2 linked regions of the Caenorhabditis elegans genome follow. The protein of the gene in region 2 purifies or fractionates together with the protein of the main gene of each other region. This does not show direct contact. Each region holds a gene or a part of one and is shown on either strand. Other genes may lie near its edges.

Region 1 (11,901 bases), on a different chromosome or scaffold from region 2:
GAGCGCAGAGAGAAGGTTGGGTGAACTGAAGAGATAGTGTAGGGGTTAGATGAGGCGCAGAGACGTAAGAAAAAAGCGTTCGGAGATAGATGGGTGTAGTGTTGGCCACATTGTCGTCTGTGTAGTTGATATCATTTGTAGCGGAAAATATGTCAAAATTGATAAGGATTTTAGTTGTCTAGACCCCGTCGGGAGTATAGGAAAAATTAATTTATGCTTGTAAAAGTCCAGTAAACGTTCGAAAAAATTATGCATCCAACATTTTCTTGCAGGACTCAGCGACCAGCTCTGCCTGTGATTTATTCTGAAAATGGGTGTCCTTCGCCACGAAAACTGATGCACCAAGTTGATTTCCCGTAAAACATTCCATAATTTTTGACTTTTCCTCTTCAGAAATTCCATCTTCAAATCTCTGAAAAATTTTAAGTTTATGGTAGAGATGCTAGAAGTTAACTCACAAAATGCTCCAAACCGTCATGTTTCTCCAATTTCTCTAGGACAATTTCTTCTTCTACCAAGTGGTCGTTTCCGCCGAAGACGATTAGTTTTTTGGTCTGAAAATTTTCAAAATTAGAAGGGCGTAGACGATAGGCTTTTTTGAAAACTTACATGCTTCTGATTCAACTTCTCAATGTACTCAATTTGATCTTCCAGCGACATCCTCATCACGGACCGCATTGCGCACATGGCCTCCTCTCCAGATTTCACTTTGAAGCCGATAGCTTTGTAGACTGAAATATTTTTAAAATTTGAAATGAACTAAATAAATATTTTTACTTACTTCCTAAAATCATCGAATTTCCCAAAAAACTTGGCAAAAGCCCATACATCCAGTCCAAATACTCCAGCCTATAAAATGGCCTAATGCCCTGATGATGTCTGAACCCGGTCGGATTTATGAGCACAAGACCGTGAGCTTCACGTCCGACGGCTGTTTGCAGAGCATTCTCGCATCCACGACTGTGTCCCATGTAGATAATTTTTCCGTCGATTTTCAGCTCATCTAGCAAAGCGTTGGAGAAGTTTTGGCGTTCCGGATTTGCGTGTTGTTGACCTTCATATTCAGGCGTATTTGAAAATCCCGGATAATTGACTCCAATAAATCGAATATTCAGATCATCCAGCTTGCTCCGAATGTACTTGAAATCGTTGTGAGACCCAGGGGAGCCGTGGAAAGCAACTACAGTACCGAACGGGGAGCCGGAAGTGATAGAGTCCTGAATTTGAAAAGTTAATATTAGGGGGGCAAATTTTTTAGTAGGCAAATTTGGCAAATTGGCAAAATACCGGTTTGCCGACTTGCCGGAGTTTTGATTTTCGGCAAATTGCTGATTTGTTGTTTGCCAAACCTCAACTTGCCAGAAGTTTTCAGAGGGATTTTTATAGGACTTAAAACTGTGCCTTTTTGAAAATTTTCCCCGTTTTCTTTGGATATTTTCATAGAATTTGCTTATTTTTCAAAATAGATGTAGAAGCATTCTTAGGATGCGTACAATTTTTGCCGATTAAATTTGAAATTCTGAGATTTCCAAAAAAAAATTGGCAATTTGCCGGTTTGCCGAAAATTTCAATTCCGGCAATTTACCGATTTGCCGGAAAAGGTCGTTTGCCGCCCGCCCTGGTTCAAATATCCAGAAAAAAAACTAGATTAAAGTAAAACTTCGAACCACACCTCATAAACCGCCTCCAACTCCACAAATTGTTCATTTTCCGCTTGAAATTTCACTAGCTTCTTCAAAAGCTTGGGCTCACTTATTCGTGCTCTGGGGACCTCCGTCATTCTTGAAATTGTATTGATTAAAGAAAACGGTACAATAATTAGTTTTGACATTAAATTTTAAAAATAAGAAATGAAATTTTTAAAGCGTAAAATATGTATATTTTTTAAACTCGACAAAATAATTTAATTTCTTTGCAAAAAAATCAATAAAGAACTCGAATAAACCGTGTTATTCGTGGAATCTCAAAGGTCGAAAAAGGAAGTAAAATTGAGGGTAATCGTAAGCAAGCGCGCTCTATTGAGAGTGACCTTTTCCTCTCGAAGAAGGGGAGGCATTGTCACTATGCAAATACAGGGATTTGTGTTCCCTTGCAGCAGTACAGGTTGGAAGAACGCATTTTTTACAATTTGCTCACATAATCAATCGGCGCAGGACTCACAAAAGGAAATTGTTTTAAGAATTAACGCTTTGATAATAAGTTATTATTATTGATAACACAATTCAATGAATAATTCAAAAAAAAATTGAAAAACTATTTATAATACTAATTCAATAACATTGATCTAGCAGCATCTGCCAATAAATCCGCCCGCTTCTTATTTTGAAAATGGTTATCCTTTGCAATAAATACAGATGTTCCTTTTTGATTTTTGAAACTCTCCATTATTTTCTGCTTTTCAGATTCTGTGATGTTCGCTTTGAAATTCTGAAATTCCTTCCAATTTTTCAAGTTTTTCTATCACAAAACTTACAAAATGCGCGAGTCCCTGATACTTTTTGAGTGCTTCAAAAACAATTTCCTTTTCAATTAAATGATCGCTTCCCCCAAAAGTGATCATAGTTTTTGTGGGCTGTTCATTCAATTTCAGAATGTATTCCAGTTGCTTTTCCAGGTCACAGTTCATAATTGCTCGAATAACCGCCACGGCTTCCTCTCCGTCTTGAATTTTAAATCCGACCGATTTCATTACTGGAAATTGGAAAAGCTATTTATGGTTCAAAAAGTTACAATTTTCAGTTTGCGGAGACCGTCAACCAATCAGCGGTGCGCGGGGCGTGGCCAACATTGCTGATTGGCTGGTGCTTTTCAAATTTGAGTGCATTTTTGAAAATAAGCTTTCTACACATACATTTTCAAAACTTCGTGAAAAATCCGACAAATTTCTTCTAGAAACATTTCTCCACTTTTGAAAATACGTTGGGAAATTTATATTTTTTCGAGGAAGATAAAAAAACTTACAATTATACATAATGGTATCTCCTACCGTTTTCGGCAATTTTTTATGGAAATATACCAGAGATTCCAGCTTTCCCTTCGGACGAGACCCTTTATGAATTCTCAATCCAGTCGGATTAACCATTACTAGTCCATGAGGTTTCCGATTAGTAGCTGTTATCAGTGCACTTTCACACCCTCTGCTATGCCCCATTATGATCACTTTTCCCTGCACATCTAGCTCGTTTAACAATGCTTCTGAGTAGCTATTTCGTTCCCAGTTTCCGAAATGTTGACCGGGGTAGGCTGAAATTTTTTTAAAAATTATTTGATGGTTTTTTTAAAAAATAAACTGAAATTACCAGGAGTTTGCTTGAAACCTGGGTAGTTAATGCCAATGAATCTAATATTCATGTGCTCCAAACGCTGCCTAACATACTTGAAATCTTTGTGAGATCCTGGAGTTCCATGGAATCCGATTACAGTGCCCAGTGGTGAGCCTGATGCAGAAGTATCCTAGAAAATTGACTATTGAATATTAAAAACCTTTGGCTTACCGTACCTCATAAACTGCATTTAAATCTACCAATCTTCCCCTTTTGGTTTGGAACTGCACCAGCTTTGAGTACAACTTTGGCTCACTGGCGGGTAGGATGGAAAATGCTCGTTTTGACACAATCATTCTTGAATTTTTGAAATTAACTCTGCAAACAATACATCGAAATGAAACAGTTTTAGGAATTTGAATTTAAAACAATTGAAGTCGCGTGAATTTTTAAACGTGAAAATTAATTTTTTTTAAAAATCAAAATTTGATTAGTTGTCTTTTTAAATAGTTTTTTTTCCAAATTTTTTGTTTTACAATTTTTTATTGAAAATATAGCGATTGTTAAAATAATAGCAAAAAATCAAAATTTAAAAAAACCACAACAGACTGGCAAAAAGGAGAACAAGAAATGACGTCAAATGCGTACCCACAGGAGGAAACCGGTCAGATGTGTCTGTGTAGTCAGTGTGTAGCCAATGCACCCCCTCCTGTACTTTGGACCCTTGTCTATGTTTTAAGAAATTTTCAAATACAAACCTTAAACTGCAGGGCACTTTTTTCAGATTGAAAACTTTGGTTGGCCCAAAATTTGTTTTTTTTTTCAAATTTTTGTTGGCGTTTTCTGGGACAGTATTTCAAAATCTAATAATTTCTTGTATGTTTTTTATTGAATAAAATTACTATCACAGTTCTCAAATTATAGTCGTTGGAAATATTTTTCTTGGTGAAGATTCTCGGCGAATTCGGCAAATCGGCAAATTTGTCGCACACCCCTGATGTAGAAATAAGCTAGGCCCGTAACTAAGCATCCCGTTGGTATGACCATCTATAAAGCCGGTATATGATAGGTAGGTAGGAAAGCCTATTTTCACTGTATTTTCAGAAAATTAGTTGTATTTTATTGGTTTCTGATATCTGGCAGCAGGAAAACGAGTAGATAGGCGTAGGTCGGCTTGAAGGCAAATATGCATTTTTGGGTACTATTCCTTTTCTTGTACCTTGATAGCGTCCTACCAAAAAATAGCTGGAGTTCTGGAAAAATCGATTTTTACAGCATTCTGTGTCAGTTATTGAAATTATTCGAAAAATGTTTTTTTGCCAAATTTTACAATAGAAAAAATCGTGCTTTGCTGAAAGTATTGGATATATTATCCATTATAAATTCAACGGAAAACATGTTTTTATTAAACAAAATATCCATTTAAAAAGGGCACCTGTAAGTGAGTTTACATTCAAGCCATCAATTCTATCTTCTTCCTACTCATCATTCTCGCCTGGATTCCAAATTTTGGAAGTTCTCAGGATAATGAGGCTCTTGGAGTGAGTTTTTAATAATGTTCGAAACAATTTGTATAGATGCTTTACAGGAGCTAACAGGAGCTATGTTGTCGCTAAGAGGCTTGGCACAGAGTGAAGAGAATTTTAAAAAGGTGTTCCAAGAGTTTGACGAAGACGGAAATGGCTTCATCTCTGTTGCTGAACTGGAACCCCTCTTCAGCAACTTTCAAGCACGGCTGTCTGCCGAAGGGATTCGCAAAACTTTCCGTTACACCGATATCGACAGAAATGGTCAAGTTGATTTAGATGAGCTCATCGATGTAACCAGAGCTGTAAATCCTTCTCTTTAGAGAATCACCAACCTCAAATTTTCCAGTTTCCTCCTCTTATCCTCTCGTTTATAAGTATTATCTTCCCTAAAAAACTTTGAATAAATATTTCATCAACCTTCAATTGAAAAACTCTTTTTTTTGCCGATTAAAAACTTTGGTTCACCTAAAATTCGTTGTCTTTTGTAATTTTTGCTGACTTTTTCTGGGGCAGTATTTCAAAAGCTAAATATTTTTTGTAAGTTTATTATTGAATAAAATTACTATTACAGTTCTCAAATTATAGTCGTTGAAAATATTGTTCATGTTGCAGATTTCCCTTTTGTTTGTAAAGTTAAACAATTTGAAAATTTCAAAACATTAATTTAATAACATTGATCTAGCAGCATCTGCCAATAAATCCGCCCGCTTCTTATTTTGAAAATGATTATCCTTTGCAATAAATACAGATGTTCCTTTTTGATTTTTGAAACTTTCCATTATTTTCTGCTTTTCGGATTCTGTGATATTCGCTTTGAAATTCTGAAATTCCTTCCAATTTTTCAAGTTTTTCTATCACAAAACTTACAAAATGCGCGAGTCCCTGATACTTTTTGAGTGCTTCAAAAACAATTTCCTTTTCAATTAAATGATCACTTCCGCCAAAAGTGATCATAGTCTTTGTGGGCAGTTCATTTAATTTCAGAATGTATTCCAGTTGCTTTTCCAGGTCACAGTTCATAATTGCTCGAATAACCGCCACGGCTTCTTCACCATCATGAATTTTGAATCCAACCAATTTCATTACTGGAAATTGAAATAATTTATAAGATCTGAAGTATCCCTGAAAATTTCGAACATCCTTTAAAGGTGGAGTACCGAAATTTGAGACTTTGCTTATTTAGACCCAAAATGACCCAAAACCATCGACTTTCATAATGAGATGTTTTGAAAGTTTCTCAAAAACGGGTTTTTTCTAAAACATTGAGCCGACATAACTTTTATTTGAAAAATTTTCAGAACATCTCATTACGAAATTTGGTAGTTTTGGGTCATTTTGGATCTAAAAAAGTAAAGTCTCAGATTTCGGTACACCACTTTTAAAAACTTAGGTCTAACGAAAATACGTATTCCTAAACTGCCAAAACTACACTTTAAATAAGCCACTACCAATAATTTTGCTGCGTTTTGAACTAGAAAATTTCCGATCTCAAATTTTATTTTTACAGGACATTTTTCCAATTGTTCTGAAGCTCGTAAAATTGCTCTAGGGGTAGGCAACATCCAGAAAACTTTTCAGATTTTTGCTTTTTTTTTAATCAAAAACGCTCCCAAAATGAAAAAGTTTATGAAAAAATCCAACTTTCAAGCATTTTGACGAGCCTCAACAGTAGTAAAACACCACATTGAAACATTTTTTGGTAGTGGCCTATGGCATATTTCTCATTTTGCTTATACTCACAATTATACAAAATGGCATCTCCAATCTTTTTCGGCAATTTCTTATGTAAATAAATCAGCGACTCCAACTTTCCCTTCGGACGAGACCCTTTATTAATCCTCAACCCTGTTGGATTAGCCATCACTAGTCCATGAGGTTTCCGATTAGCTGCTGTTATCAGTGCATTCTCACATCCTCTGCTATGCCCCATTATGATCACTTTTCCCGGCACATCTAGCTCGTTTAACAGAGCTTCTGAGTAACTATTTCGTTCCCAGTTTCCGAAGTGTTGACCTGGGTACGCTGAAATTTATTTTTAATTATTTGATGGTTTTTTATTAATTAACTGAAACTACCTGGAGTTTGCTTGAATCCTGGGTAGTTAATACCAATAAATCTAATATTCATGTGCTCCAATCGCTGCCTGACATACTTGAAATCCCTGTGAGACCCTGGAGTTCCATGGAATCCAATCACAGTACCCAATGGGGAGCCAGATGATAATGAGTCCTGAAAAACTGACTTTTAAATTGAGAAATCAGTATTTCAGTGTCAACCTACCTCATAAACTGCATTTAAATCTACCAATCTTCTCCTTTTGGTTTGGAACTGCACCAACTTTGAATACAACTTCGGCTCGGTGGCGGGTAGCGTGGAAAATGCTCCTTTTGACATAATCATTATTGATTTTCTTGAAAGAATTTGTATCATAAATCACCAATTTGAAACATTTTTATTCACGAGATATTATCAAATTTAATCAAATTTGTGTTTAGAAAAAAAAATCTGACCTTCTCCATTTTTGTACTAGAAACGTAAAAAATACAACGATTGCTGGAAAATCAAAAAGACAAAATATAAAGCACAACATGAAGCTGGCATGTAAAAAAAGAAAGAAGATATGACGTCAACTGCGTACCCAAACGAAAAAGAGGAGAGAAGCGCGGGTCAGCTGTGTAGTTGGAGTGTGGCCGGTGTGCCCATCGGGTACTCTGGACCCTACTGGAATAAAATTTTAGCTTTACTATTAGATGAGTTTTTTTTTACATTTGATAAAAAAACAAGCTTTTTGGACAATTTTTTCTGGCCAAAAGAAAATCAAAAAATAACCGTCTAACAATTGACATTGAGTTGCAACTGTGTGAAGACGTGAAAATTTGAGAAAAAAAAATTCGCATTCAGAAAAATGCAAAAATTACACTGTAAACTGAAAAAAGCTCTAAAATATGAGTTCAACAAAATTATACGTTTGGCCAACTGCGAAGATTTGCAATTTGGTCGCCTGATGCCGAAAACTTGCCGAAAATTTGCCCATCGATAGCTGAGTTTTTAAACCAGTCAATTGAAGTATATCAGGAAAAGCGAACTCACAAGATGTCGGTCGCTGCAGTTTTTGACATTTCTGGTATTTTTGGGTGTTGTTTTTTTGTCAAAAATAGGGGACTTTTCAGATATGTATGTTATATCACATGTTATGTATGTTATGTATGTTATATTAGCCGATATGGAACCAAAAATTATCGAAATTGGTTACCTATCGGCTTTAAATATACCTTATATCAACGAAAGTAAATGAGATAAACTACCAATATATGTAATAAAGGACGATAATTCCAAAAAAGTCAACTTCGGACATGAATCTTATTTCGCAATGAATCTTGCGCAATGAATCTTATTTTGGCACCTCATGTCCTATGCATGTTTAATACTTTTACCCATTATTCATCTCCCTGACACCCGCACATTCATGTACCAACTAATCAACTTTTCAGATGATAATTCATTTTCTGTATGTTTATTAGTTTTCTGTATGTTTATTATCGTATGTTTATTACGTTTATTATCATGATTTCAATCGTAATAAATTCAATTCAATTCAATATGTAAAAGCGAGAATACAATTTATTGTAAAATTACATTTTTTGACAGCCTTTATTTCCGAATTTTCAAAAAATACAAAAAAAATTCAGAAAGAGGAAGGAAAAAATTCAAGCAACTACATGAATTTCCTAAAATTGAAAAAAAAAATCGTAGTAAAATTTTTCAAAAATTAAAAAAAAACAACTTTTAAAAATTTCAACGAGCGGATTCAATGGTGTTTCAAATATTTTTTAATTATTGGTGAGGGTTTAAACCAGCGATTCTCGAATTTTTTTCACCAAAAATTTGACTGAAAATGTTGAAAAATGTTAAAATTTTGAAGTGTTTCATTAAAATACTGAACCGGCAATAGGTGGGCGGCAATTGCCATTTGGCAATTTTGGCAAATTTTGTCGACAAACTCGGCAAATCGGCAAACTGCCGGTTTTCCTGATATTTTCAATTCCGGCAACTTGCCGGTTTGTCGATTTGCCGGATATTTTCAATTCAGGCTATTTGCCGATTTGCCGTTTGCCGAACACCAATTTGCGGGAAGTGTTTAGAGGGAATTATTTATGAAACCGAAACACTTAAATTTGCGCCTTTTTGAAATTTTTTTCCCCGTTGTCTTCAGATAATTTCATAGAATTTGTGTACTTTTCGAAACAGATGTAGGAACATTCATAGAATGCGTACAATTTTGCCGATTAAAATTGAAATTCTGAAATTTCCAAAAAAAAAACTGTACAAAACGACAATTTGGGTGATTTGCCGGTTTGCCGATTTGCCGGAAATTTCATTGCGGTATATTGCCGGCAGCTTCGATTCCGGCAATTTGCCGATTTGCCGGAAAAAATAGTTTGCCAACCACCCCTGTATTGGGTTATTTGAAATGATTATTATTTCCCATTGGTTATATCTTCAATGTTTAGCAATGCAATAAAATTATTTCCCCCCCCCCCCCCCCCCCTGCAAATAATTCCAGTGACAATTTTCCATAAAATAAATATGTTCGGCAACTCTGCAAAAGAACACCAGGTGTGTTCATAAAGTCGTATTGTGTGGAAGTTTGAACACTGGAACTTTGGATTCGTCGGAAAACAATTCATCATAATCGAATTTCTACATATGCAAAAATTCAGAGTAGTTAAATTCGCTTAGCAATATACGGTGATCTACAAAAAATGCGGGAGAAGAGACGCATAGTTCTCAACTGATTTCGTATGGTTAAGAACGTGCTGACGTCACATTTTCTTGATAATAAATTCAATAATAAAGAGAGTATGCGCCTTTAAGGAGTACTGCAGTTTCGAACTTATTATTTTTGCAGAAATTGAAAAAAAAGTTGTTCTTAATATGGAAAAGGTGAAAAAAAGGAAACTACAGTACTCCTTAAAAGGCACACCCTAATTTTTTTTATTTAAAAAAATCGGTCGTGTCCAGATCATCTGAAATTGAACTTATGAAGAATATGAAATATTTTTAACCGAAAAAAAAAAAACGAAAGTACTGCGCAAAAACCCATTCCAATTAATCCAGAGAAACTACTTTTGAAATCGGAAAAAAGTGCATTTTCGTTTTTCATAGTGTTTTTTTTTCTAAACAGCGGTTTTTTTTTCAAAATTTGCAAAAAAATAAACTTCTTCAGAAAAAAAAAAGAAAAATAAGTTTTACAGAACATTTTTTAAAATATTAATTGGACGCAGAATTTTTTTGAAATCGACGTGAAAACGCGCCCCACGGCTAATTGAAACGCCCCGCCGCCCGAGTCATGGGTCTCGTTAGGAATTTGACAGTAAAACCGTGGTGCCAGGCTGTCCCATTACGTTTTTGATCTACAAAAAATGCGGGAATTTTTTGCGCAAAAAAAGTGACGTCAGCACCATACGAAATCAGTTGAGAACTCTGCGTCTCTTCTCCCGCATTTTTTTGTAGATCTACGTAGATCAAACCCAAATGGGACACTCTGACACTAAATTCAGAGTTTTCCATTAGTTTTGCATGCTTTCAAACAATTTTCGTCTTGATTGAAAGCATGTAAAACTAATTGAAAAACTCAATTTACACGTGGTGTCAGAGTGTCTCATTTCGGCGTGATCTACGTAGATCTACAAAAATTGCGGGAGAGAGACGCAGTGTTCTCAACTGATTTCGCATGATTAAGAACGTGACGTCACATTTTTTGGGCAAAAAAATCCCGCATTTTTTGTAGATCAAACTGTAATGGGACAGCCTGGCTTCACGTGAATTTAGAGTTTTGCAGCCAAATACCTAACGAGACCCAACGTATAGGGGCGGACAGTTTTTCATTGGCCGTGGAGCGCGATTGCGCCATTTCCCCAATTTGTTACTAATTTTTCTTCCATTTTCAACCAATTCACTTTTTTCAGGGAAAAAGCACAAATTTTTTCCAGCTTCCTCGCCAAAACGAAAATATTTTGAGAAGCATCTTCGATCGCCGGGCGGCGGCCGATTTTTTTCACACATCGCTCACTTCTCAGTGCATTCTCATGCAAATCGTCGCGTCCCTGGCACACAATCACAAAAGTCGGGAGGGGTGGTGGTAGATAGAAGGAAAAGGAAAGAAAAGACAGTTTTCAATATATTTGAAATATTTTCTTCTTCGTTTCTTTTTTTGTGCTCTTCTTTTATCCAGTTTTTTTTTCAATATATTTAACAATAATCGTGGCAATATTGAAGACTCCCCCACATCTGTTGTTAGTCGTCGACGCGGCGCCGTTGTGTGCACATATTTCAATCGGAAAGTTCTGAGTTAGCAAAAACAAAGAGCATCTGTCAAAACGTTTTGATGATTTGATGACGAAGAGTGAGGTTCTCAATTTTATCGCCGGTCCCGTATTTTATGCTCCGAAAACTCTTTTGTTTCATCTCCGTATTTTATTACACGATTTTGTTAACAAATTCCTCGTTAAAGTTGGTTTTTAACGCAAACTTTTTATTTTTTAAATTTAATTGAAAAATAAAAATATATACTACAGTAGTTTTTTGAAGGCGCATGGCTGAATTTTTAAAGTCGCGTCGAGACCCTTCACACTTTTTTGAGATCCGCGCCTTTTTACTACGGTATTGCTAGTTTTTATTTTCTTTTTTAAATGCCTTTTTTGTGGATTTTCCTTGTTTTTTGCCAATTTTCGCGCATTTCCGTCCAATTTTCTTGCGAAAAAACTTAAACTTTGTAGAAATTTTCGTTGAATTTTCATGCAAAAACGTCAATTTTCGGCGAGTTTTCCGTTTTTTCCTTAGAAAACTAAAGTTTTTCAATTTTTCCGGTCGTTTTCCAGATTTTTACCGCGTTTTCCCTGTTTCGCTTCAGTTTTTATCTAATTTTTCAAGTTTATTCCTTCAGTTTCTGTGAAAAATAATTATTTTCACCTTTATATCCACCACTTCCCAAGAAATCCCTCTCATTAATTTATTTTTTCTCAATTTTATCCAATTTTTCACCGCAATTCTCCCTTTTAACACCATTTCCAGCCGAAATACACCGTCCATCTGTCACCAGTTCGTCG
Region 2 (11,151 bases):
AACTGAAAATGTACCTAAATCAACAAAAACTAGAAATTTATCGCTAAAATGAGAATCCAACCGCTGAGAAAAATTCAATTTTTAATTTTTGAAGCATTTTCTCATTTTCTCCTAAATCTCGTTATTTTCTCACAAATTTATTTTTTCATACTCGAATTCTACAAATTATACATAATTCAAATTATTTTAAATCTGAAAATAACCCAAATTCTCCAACATAAAAACTTGTTTTTGACCATAAGCTTGTTGCACGTACGGTATGGTGTTTTATGTTCCTTTGCGTCTAATACACCATATCTCACGCGCAAATCTCCTAAATTTCCTAAATTTTTATTGTTTTTTTCTCGAATTTTGTCGATTTTTCTTCGCAGATCTCCTTTTTTCGATCGATTTTTCTTGAATTTTGCTAATTTAAAGCTTATTTTTCAATATAAACACTAAAAATTGCCAATTTTTCAGATCCAACGGTCTATAGCATCATAGCCTTCGGGTTTGTGCCCCGGTGTAGTTCTGTAAGATCAAAAACTCTAAAAAACGTATAATCTGATCAACTCAACAATCATCTCACTTATCCACCAAAAAATGAATCAATATTCATCTTTTTCTCCGTCTTCTCCATCGTCATCCAGCCGTCCCAGTGGTGGTGGTGGCCAGTCATCCCATCAGACGACGCCGAAGTCATCCGGAAATCCACGTCAGCAACAAGCACAGCCACGTCATCGCCAACGAAAGGCTCAATCATCGAGCCCAGCGTCGTTGGCAGCTTTTGCATCATCATCGGTGTGCTCATCGCCATCCGCCAGAAATGTACCGTTGCCACCAGTTGAATGGCTTAACCAGGTACATTGGTGTGGAAAATTTCAAGATTTTGAAGAAAAACCCCGGAAAAATGCAGAAATTCCGATTTTTCTTGTAAAAAAAAAGAAATTTTTCCAATTTTCAGGCTGAAAAACAACAAAAAACTCACTTTTTTGTGTAAAATTTTCAATTTTTTGTCGAAAATCGCTTTTACAGCAGGAAAATCACCAAATGTTTATTTTTCACTGAATTTTTCCATAAAAAAGCCTTTTCTAGCTGGGAAATCCCGATTTTTGCTGCTTCAATTCTTTTTGATGAAAAAAGGCATTTTCAGCTCAAATTAACCATTTTTGGCATAGAAATGTTTAGAAATCGAAATCCGCTTTTTAATGCATATTTCAGGGATTTTCATCGAAAAAATATTATTTTCAGTATGAAAACCTTCGAAAATAGCTTAAAATCGACCTTTTCTAGCATAAAAATCCTTTAAAATTCTGATTTTTCACTCAAAATCACATTTTTTTTCAATTTTCAGTGAAAAAAAGCATTTTCACGTTGAAATCAACATTTTCTAGCTTAAAAACCTTCCAAGATTTCAATTTTCCCATCAAATCTCCCTTGAAGCTGTAAACTTCCGATTTTTCCTGAATTTTTTGATTTTCACCTTAAAATCAACATTTCCTACCATAAAAATACTAAAAATTCCGAATTTTCGTCCAGTTTTCTACTGAAAAATGCATTTCCAGCTCATAATCATCATTTTTTGGCGAATAAAACCTTAAAAATTCCGAATTTTCCAGTTACAAGTCGATTTTTACTGAGAAAAAGGCGTTTTCAGCTGAAAATCTATCTTTTTTAGCATAGAAGTCTATTAAAAAAAGGATTTCCCACTGAAATCCTCCATTTTTATTCCAATTTTTACTGAAAAAAAGCATTTTCAAATCAACCTATTCTAGCATAAAAATCTTAAAATTCGAATTTTTTCGTTTTTCGGCTAAAAAAGGTTTTTCCAGCTCAAAAAACCTTAAAATTCCAAATTTTCAGCTCCAAGTCGATTTTTACTGAAAAAATGGCGTTTTCAGCTCGAAATCTATCTTTTTTAGCATAAAAATCCGTTCAAATTCTGATTTTTTATTCAAATTCGCCCTTTTTTTTCAATTTTCAGTGAAAAAAAGCATTTTCACCTTGAAATCGACATTTTCAAGCTCAAAAAACCTCAAAATTCCAAATTTTCAGCTCCAAGACGATTTTTACCAAAAAAAAAATCATTTTAAGCTCAAAATCACAATTTCTAGCATAAAGTTCTTTGAAAATTCCGAATTTTCCACTTTCCAGTGCATTTTCTTGCATTTTCCAGCCTAAAAATCCCTCAAAATTTCTCAATTTTTCAGCTCCAAGTGCCCGGACAGCTCGAAAACTCATCCCGTCCATCATCATCCATCTCAATGACGTCATCAGCTTCATCGTCAACATCTTCTCTCTCATCATCGGATGCTCCAATGATCACAATGACACCACGACGTGCTGCTCAAAAAGAGATGAAGCCAAAGACTGATGTGCTCGGAGTTCGTGTCTGTCCACTACAGCTCATCGCAGCAATCGCCTCGGCTTAAAGCTTCTGGATTCTGGATTTCCCCCTTATTTTTGGATTATTTTAGTGTATTTTTTGGGGGGTTTTTTGGGTTTTCGAACTGAAATTTTGGCTTAAAAAGCCTAAAAAACCCCTAAAAAACTGAGATAATCTAATTTTCCCCTGCAAAACTTATCCATATTCGTCTCTCTCAACAATTTATCACAGTTTTGGCTTCTTTTTTTGAAAATTTTCACTTTTTTTTTTGTTAATTTGCAATATATTTTGTTTGTCTTGCTGCGGGGGATTTTTTCGTTAAAATAGAGAAAAAAAAATCGAAAAAATTCCCCGCGAAATCCCCGTGTGCTACTAGAAATTCTGAACCATTGTAGATATTTCGGTTTTTTTTTCGAAATTTCTTTCCCGGAATTCGATAGTACAAATACAGGTATTCCCCCGTCCCGTTTTCATTTTTTGACCCGAAAAATCTTAGAAATTCGATATTTTAGACCGCCCATCTTTTTTTTCGCGTTTTTTTCCTTTAGTTTTCCCCCCCACCAAAACGTGATGATTTTCCTGTACATATTGGATTTTTCCTCACCTTTTTCTTCCATTTTTTGTCCATTTTCACTTATATGTTTTGTTAATTATTGGTTTTTGCCCCCCACAAAAATGCTCAAAATGGCTCCAAATTTCCCGGAAAAACGGGTTTTCTTTCGGCGAAAATTTTGAATTATTTAGTGAAAAAATAGCCAAAATTCTCAAATTTTGCACGGTTTTTTCAATTTTTTTGCAAATTTTGGTGCATTTTCCGTAAAAATCGACAAAAAATTGCGAAACACATTTTTCCGAGTTTTTTTTTTGCCGATTTCGTGCAAAAAACGTGGGAAAATCTGCAAAAATGCAGAAAACAGGAAAAAATTGATTTTCTGCCACTATTTTGCAATTTTCGGTCGATTTTAGTGCATTTTTAGCCGATTTTGACTGAAAATTTGCAAAATATTGATTGAAAATTAAATTTTATCGATTTTTTCTGATATTTTGGCTTTTTCCCAAGTTTTTTGTCGATTTTGTGCACAAAACGTGAAAAAACCGATGAAAAAAAACTTGCGCGTCAAATACAATGCACTGCGTACACTCGCGGTGTTTGCACCGAGTGCATTCTAATTGACGGGCAAAATCTTTTTTTACACTGAATTTTTACGATTTTCTTGAGTTTTAGCCAAATTTGCTAATTATTCGTACATTTTTGTCCATTTTCAGTCGATTTTCACTGAAAATTACCAAATTTTTCGCCTAAAAACTGTTTTTCCACGGAAATTTGGAGATTTTCACAGTCTCAAAAATCAATAATTATCAAGTGTGTACCCAACTTCAAAAATTGATTTTGGCCGGGTCACACGCCACTTTTTCTCGATTAGTTTTTCAATATTTTCTGGGAAAACTCGCCAAGAAAAATGGGCGGCCTCTAAATCTCTATTATCGATTTTTCTTTTTTCATTTTTTTTCATTTTTCCCCATACTGAAAATCGACCTTTTTAGGTTATTTTCACTCTGTTTTTGTACCATCTTTTCTTCTTTTTCTCTATGTCTCGTTATTTCTGTGTTAGCACCCCCACTCTCTCTCTCTCTCACTCTATCTCTCTCTGTCTCTCTCTGTCTCGCCACGTCATATTTTAATGTTCATATCCCCCCGAGTCTGGTCACACTATCCTACAGTAACCAAGCCTACAGTCTACAGTAATCCTATATATCTATCAATATCTTATAATCTTTTAATATATATAATCCACACAGTTTAGCTGCTACAGTAATCCCGGCTAAATTTGTTCTCTAGTCTATTGGTTTTTTTTGAAAATTTTAAATTTTCCCCCTCACCCACCCACCCATTCATTTAAATCTCTCAGAAGCCTTAATTTTTAAATTTTCGCGCGAGTCGAACCTCGATCTCCCAGGTTTTCGCATTCCTTCCCACTTTTTTTTCCATCTTTTTTCCTGTTTCTTGGCTATTTTTTGGGAAAAGTATCAAATTTCTCTCGCGAAATTTGCGATTTCCCGAAAATTTGCCAACTTTCCACTGAGATTTTGGCGTTTTTTGCGCATTTCCACCTCTACCATCTGTACGGATTGCGATTTTTTTCACTGAAATCGAATAGATCACTATCAAGACAAAATTTCCAGGCTTTCAGGCTCTCATTAGGCTTGTCTGGACTATTTTTCTTGAAAAGAAGAAGAAGTAATAAATACGTTGTGATCTAAAAAAATATTGTGTTTTTTTTCAAAAATTCAGAATTACATAAAAGCATAAAATGAGATTCCAGTGTACATTAATCGAATGGAATTTGAAATTGGAAGAGAAAAAGTTTGAGATTTATCGGCCACTTTGGATTTGTCGGCTTTCCGTTTGGATTGGGGGCGAAGACGGGCGAGAAGGCGGATTCGAGGGCGATATTCTGGAAAATTTGAATTTTTTTCCCGTTTTTTGGGAATTTTTAGCCCAAATCGCTGGAAAATAGGCCAAAATCGATAGAATTTTTTGCAAAAAACTGGCGAAGTTGAATAAAAAAATAATTTTTTTTACAATTTTTAATGAATTTTTCCCATTTTTTCGCAAATTTTCGTCGTTTTTTGAGAATTTTCCGTTTAAATCGGTGGAAAATAAGCTAAATCGACAAAAATTTTCAGAAATATGTGGAAATTGGATTAAAAAACCATTTTCAGCGAATATTACGTAAATTTTGGTCGATTTTGGTGCATTTTTTGCCGATTTTGACTGGAGAAGTCATATTTTATGGTTTTTTTTTTCGTCGATTTTGGCCCATTTTCAGAAGATTTTTTTTTTGGCCAACTCACTGCAGGAGCTCATCATTGTATCCAATTTTTCCGTAATTTCCATCGTTCGAACCTTCTCCAGAATCGCTGAGAGCCTGGCGTAGATATTTGGACTTCTACGGCTGAAAATTATAAAATTTTAGTGAAAAATCATCAAATTCTGTAAGATTTACCCATCAGGGCGCCTCAATCGGCTGATAGTGACACGAAATCCGACGAGTTGAGTTTCCGACGGTGTTACCATGCATACTGGAAGAATTTCAAGTTATTTTTAATCAAAAATCATCTGAAATTAGCTAAAAAATTCAAGAATTTCGAAAAAAATGCAGAAAAAAAGATTTGCGCGTCAATTAAAATGCACTCAGTGCAAACACCGCAAGTGTACGCAGTGCATTGTATTTGACGCGCAAGTTTTATTTCTGGGTTTTAAAGCATTTCTACAGCAAAAAATACAATAAAATCAATTAAAAATCTAGATTTTAGGCCCAAAAACCTTCAAAAGCCAATAATCGTCCTGCCGCAATATATTGCTCCGCGAGCTGACAATTTTCTTCAACGTGTCGCTGAAATCGTGCATCCGGGCATTTCGAATGCTCATAATCCTGTCCAAACTTCATTTTCGGCCAATCCGCCGTGCTCGGCGAGCATCTTTCCATTGCCACGTAGCAAAATGACGTCAGAAAGTCGCAGAAAATGGCGGTATCCCGAAGATTGCCACCAACACGTCGGCGATGCTTCTTGCCGAGAATTACGTGGTGGGGAGGTTTAATGATGACGGCTTTGGCCGTTGTGATGTTAGTTGCTCGAAGAGATTTCATTTTTAGGGTCTTCCTGGGGAATCTGAAAAAAAAATTACCAAGACGTTTTTATCCTGAATTTTGCGATTTTTAAAAAAATTTTACAGAGAAAAATTCAAAAAAAAACCGCGCCGCGCTTGCTTATTCTAAGGCCCAGACGCCAAATTTTGTGATTTTCGCGCCAAAACTACGGTACCAGGTCTCGCCACGCCTTTTTTGAACTGCGAGCAGGTGTGCGCCTTTAAAGATTACTGTAGGAATTTTTTCAATCAAAAACTATGAAAAATCGGTTAAAATTCCACAGCAACCAAAGTTCGAAGTTACAGTAATTTAAAGGCGCACACCTGCCCAAAATGCTTTTTTCACGATTTTTCTCCAAAGTTGTAAATTTTAGAGAAAAAATCGTGTTGAAAACTCAATTTTTATGCAAAAGTCGGTAATTAGGCCATTTGGACTCGGCTACGGCCGGGGTAGATTTACGGAGCGGCGCGTGTCGCGTCGCGGCTAGTTTTTCATTGTAAAACTGAATAAAATGGTTTGTTTAACGGTTTTTAACGAAAATTTACAAAATTAGGTTTAATTTAACCTAATTTTGCAAATTTCAAAGGGAAATATTAAATTTTTCAAGTTTTTGAGAGAAAAATCGTAAAAATGCCCAATTTCAGCCAAAATTCGCGCGAAAATCCTGAAATTCAATCAATTTTCAGCGAATAAAATTACATGAAATATGTAAAAAACTCCTGGATAATCCCCAAAAAATTCCAACTAAAAAGTCGATATTTTCATTTGAAAATTGAAAATTTGTCGAAAAACTATATATAACTATATATCAGGGGAGGAAGGCGGGAACAAAAAAATTTCAAGGCAGCACAGAAATGGTAGAAAAAAAGAAAATATAATTTAATATAAATAAATCATTGGATAAAATTGGAATTAATATAGTAGGAATCCGGTTGTGGTATATAAAACTCGTTTTTTGCTTCTTTTCAGGGGGGAAAAAGGATGGCACAGGAAGGGAAACGGCGGGAAATTAAACTTAAATTAAAAAATTTTTTTGGCGGGATTAATTTGGGAAATTTGGAGGAAAATAGGAAAACGCGGATAAAAATGATGGAAAAATGGGATTTTTTTTCTTTTTCTGATAAAACTATGATATGATTATGAAACAAGATCAATGGCAGGGGCAGGGATGAATATAGGATAAATATTTGTATATATATATAGGTATTTAAATGGATAAAATGTCTAATTTCTTCTTCTTTTCTCTTCTCTCTCTCTCTCTCTGTACATAAAAAATCGATAATTCTACACACTAAAACAGTGGATTCTCGTGTGCCGTGCTGCGTCTCTTCTGCTTATTCGACTCTTTTCTCGGCATTTGAACTGTAATTCGCTTCACAATTTGTTGGAAACTCGGCCGCTTCTCCGGTTGGCTCGACCAGCATTCCAGCAGCAGTTCGTGCAATTTTCCGTCGATTTTTTGCAGCTGGGCGTCGAGCCGTTGAAGTGCCGCTTTTTGGCCGCACATTTTCGCGTAGAGCTTCTGATCCCAAGAGTCACAGCCCGTTGGCATACGGCGGAGCAGGAGTTCGAAGAAAATTGTACTGAAAATTGGGAAAATTTTCAAATTATTGATTTTTAAAACTTTAAATATAAAAAATGATAGTTTTTTGACTAGTTTTGAAAAAAAATTAATTTTTATTAAATTTTTCCCAATATGTCGATTTACGCAGCATTTTTCAGTGTTAATTTCAAAGTTTAAATATTAAAAAAAAAATTTTTTTCGCTTTTTCAAAAATTGTCGATTTTTAACTCAAAATATTCAAAAATTGAGATTTTTTTCACTAGTTTTGTGAAAAAATCTTCATTTTTAATGATTTTTTCCAAATTTTTCTCAATGTGTCGATTTACGCAGCTCTCTCGTGTACTCCTCGTGGAGAAGAGGTAAAGATTCTCCAATTTTTAGCTAAAACTCTCAGTTTTGGACCATTTTCACTGGTTTTTTTGTATTGAACACACAAAATCGTTCATTTTTTGGTGAAAAATACAAAAATAGTCTCAATTTTAGAGTTTTTGACCAGTATCCATAATTTATGAATTTACTGGTCAAAAACTCCAAATTTGAGTGTTTTTTTTCGCATTTTCATCAAAATACATAGAAATAAGCAAAAAATGGACGATTTTGATGTTAATCACAGAAGAAAACTAGCGAAATTGGTGCAAAACCGAGAATTTCACCTAAAAACTGTAGAATCTTCGGCTCTTCTCCACGAGGAGTACACGAGAGAGCTGCGTAAATCGACAGAGAGGCTCCAGCTCTTCCATTTTTTAATTTTCGCTAAAAAGAAGAGCACCGATTAGCAAAATTTCACAAATTTTTACGAAAAAAAAACGGTAGCCCGGGTCTCGCCACGATCGAAAATTCCCAGCTACCGTACCCCCGAGAATTTCGCAGTTTTCCCGATATTTTGAAAAATACGCCAAATATCAGGAAAATTACGAAATTCTCGTAGGTACGGTAGCTGGGAAGTTTCGTTCATGGCGAGACCCTGAATACCGTCTTTTTTAGTAAAAATTTTGAAAAAAAAATGGAATTCTGTCTTTTTCTTGACATTGACTTATTTTTGTCCATAAATTACGAACAACACGCCAAATATCAAGAAAATTACGAAATTCTCGGGGGTACTGTAGCTGGGGAAGTTTCGATCGTGGCGAGACCCCGAGCTACCGTAGTTTTTCGTAAAAATTTGTGAAATTTTGCAAATCGGTCTCCCAAACTCCATTAAATTTGAAAATGGAAGAGCTGTCGATTTACGCAGCTCGCTCGTGTACTCCTCGTGGAGAAGAGCTCTAAAAACGAATTCTTGTGGCGAGACCCAAGGCTACCGGATTTTCTGGCCAAAAATCGCATTTTTTTTCGCAATTCGAAAGCGGTTTTCACTTAAAAATCCGATAAAATACGAAATTTCCTGGTTTTCTTGGTGTGTTTTTCGTAATTTATGAATAAAAATGAGTAAATGTCAAGAAAATGGCAGAATTCAATTTTTTCGAAATTTTTACGACAAAATACCGGGGTCTTGCCACGATCGAAAATTCCCAGCTACCGTACCCCCGAGAATTTCGCAGTTTTCCCGATATTTTGAAAAATACGCCAAATATCCGGAAAACTGCGAAAGTCCCGTGGGAACGGTAGCTGGAAAGTTTCGGTCGTGGCGAGACCCTGAATACCGTACTTTTTAGTAAAAACGTCGACAAAAATTGAATTCTGTCTTTTTCTTGACATTTACTCATTTTTATTCATAAATTACGAAAAACGCCCCAAAAAACCAAGAAATTTCGAAGTTCTCGGAGGGACTGTAGCTGGGGAAGTTTCGATCGTGGCGAGACCTCTGGCCAAAAATCGCAATTTTTCGCATTTCGGAAGCGGTTTTCAATCAAAAAAAATTAAAAATTCGATAAAATCCCCCCGTACCCAAACGAATAAACATCAGATTCTTGTGAAAACGGTAGTTCATGTTGAAACAACACATCACCCCTCCAATCAATCATCAAATTTCCAGCAATTTCCGGCGAAAGATAGTCAATCCAGTGATTTGGGATTAAAAGTGTACAATTTCTGCGGGGATTCTCCAGCCGCTCAAGCTTCATCAACGCAAAATCCGTAACAACGACTCGATTCGGATTGTCCAAAAGAATATTTTTCGTTCGTAAATCTCGATGAAGTATCTTCTTTTTATGCAGATAAGACATTGCCTGACAAATTTGCAACGAAATTTGAAATGTCCACGATTGATCGAAATCTTCGGATAATTGTTCATGAATTCGGTGATAAAGAGTGTTGTGTTGATAGAAATTCGTGACAATTGCGTACGTATTCGTCACTGGATCTGATACGTATCCGTAGAATAGGGCTATATGATCGTGCCGCGAGTTCTGGAAAAAAATCGAATTTTTTTTTGTGGGGTAATTGTGTTTTTAATGCCAAATATATAACAATTTTGCACAGAAAAAAAGTTGAATTTTTCATTTTTTAAATTAAAAATTTTTTTTTCGCAATTTTTGTTGAAAAAATTTTTCGCATTAATTTAGCACAGAAAAACCGTTTAAAAATCGTAATTTTACGAAAAACTTGGATTTTTGGACACGAATTTTTAACAAAAATCCAATTTTTTTAGTAGTGTAAACAAAAATTTGAAATTTTCAGACAAAGGGTCATAGAACATATGCCAAAAATGGTTCATTCTCAAAAAATTTTTTAAAATCAATTTTCGGTAATTGTTATAACTTTTGCATTAACATCTACTCATTTTCGTTAATTCTATAGTTTTTTTTTGGGATTTTTTGAGTATTTTTTTCACAAATTTTTTATAATGTATACTTTATTATGACAAGAGTTCTGGAAAATTTGTTTTTTGGGGAAATCGTGTAAAAATAGCGAAAAATTCAATATTTTAGGCCAAAAATAAGAATCTTACACAGAAAAAATCGAAAAATTTTTGAATTTTTTAAAAATAAATTTTTTGGTGAAAAAAAATCGCATTTATATAGCAAAAAAAAACAGTAATTTTATAAAAAACTTTGGGATTTTTTGGAAAATTTGAATACGAAAAATTCAGTTTTTTGCTTAAAATTACGTTTTTCAAACGGTTTTTTAGTTTTTTAAAGTGAATTTTCGGTAATTTTGATAATTTTTGCATCAAAATTTACTCATTTTCGTTAATTTTACAGTTTTTTTTTGGATTTTTTTGGTAGTTCTGGAAAAAATTAAATTTTTTTGTGGGGAAATTGTGTTTTAATGCTAAATATATAACAATTTTGCACAGAAAAAAATTGTTGAATTTTTAATTTTTTAAATGAAAAAAATTTGTTCGCAATTTTAAATGAAAAAAAAAATTTCGCATTAATTTAGCACAGAAAAACCGTTTAAATATCGTTTTTGCCTTAAAATTGAATTATTTTTGTTATTTCTACAGTTTTTCAGGATTTTTTGTTTTTTTTTCGCAATTTGTATAATAAACTGTTTTTTCAGAGATTTTGGGCAAATTGTGGTAGAAAAATTCTAATTTAAAAAAAAATTCAAACAAAAAACAGATAAAATTTAAAGAATATAGATTTTTTTGCTGCCAAAATACCGTAAAAATCAGATTTTCCCAT

Evidence for each region.
Region 1: the proteins of F58D5.9 (region 2) and K08D9.4 fractionate together in Caenorhabditis elegans (co-fractionation; one large-scale study listed by BioGRID). This does not show direct contact.

What each region holds. Positions count from the first base shown.
Region 1 is NC_003283.11:3,193,222-3,205,122, forward strand, and holds K08D9.4 (AB hydrolase-1 domain-containing protein), read right to left. Parts: upstream 7,203-11,901; 5' UTR 7,193-7,202; coding exon 7,073-7,192; intron 7,022-7,072; coding exon 6,868-7,021; intron 6,815-6,867; coding exon 6,533-6,814; intron 6,440-6,532; exon of another isoform or gene 6,419-6,439; intron 5,878-6,418; coding exon 5,660-5,877; intron 5,614-5,659; coding exon 5,452-5,613; 3' UTR 5,323-5,451; downstream 1-5,322. Other genes in the region: Y73C8B.2 (AB hydrolase-1 domain-containing protein), read right to left, coding at 248-412, 459-554, 610-731, 782-1,217, 1,673-1,780; Y73C8B.9 (Transposase), read left to right, coding at 337-356, 655-730; Y73C8B.1 (AB hydrolase-1 domain-containing protein), read right to left, coding at 2,266-2,427, 2,474-2,691, 2,962-3,243, 3,300-3,453, 3,500-3,619; Y73C8B.5 (EF-hand domain-containing protein), read left to right, coding at 4,326-4,332, 4,722-4,804, 4,852-5,112.
Region 2 is NC_003279.8:12,040,576-12,051,726, forward strand, and holds F58D5.9 (Cystatin domain-containing protein), read right to left. Parts: upstream 6,044-11,151; 5' UTR 6,019-6,043; coding exon 5,694-6,018; intron 5,450-5,693; coding exon 5,374-5,449; intron 5,323-5,373; coding exon 5,222-5,322; intron 4,822-5,221; coding exon 4,661-4,821; 3' UTR 4,626-4,660; downstream 1-4,625. Other genes in the region: F58D5.5 (uncharacterized protein), read left to right, coding at 583-840, 2,190-2,411; ksr-2 (Kinase suppressor of Ras B), read right to left, coding at 7,310-7,601, 9,470-9,930.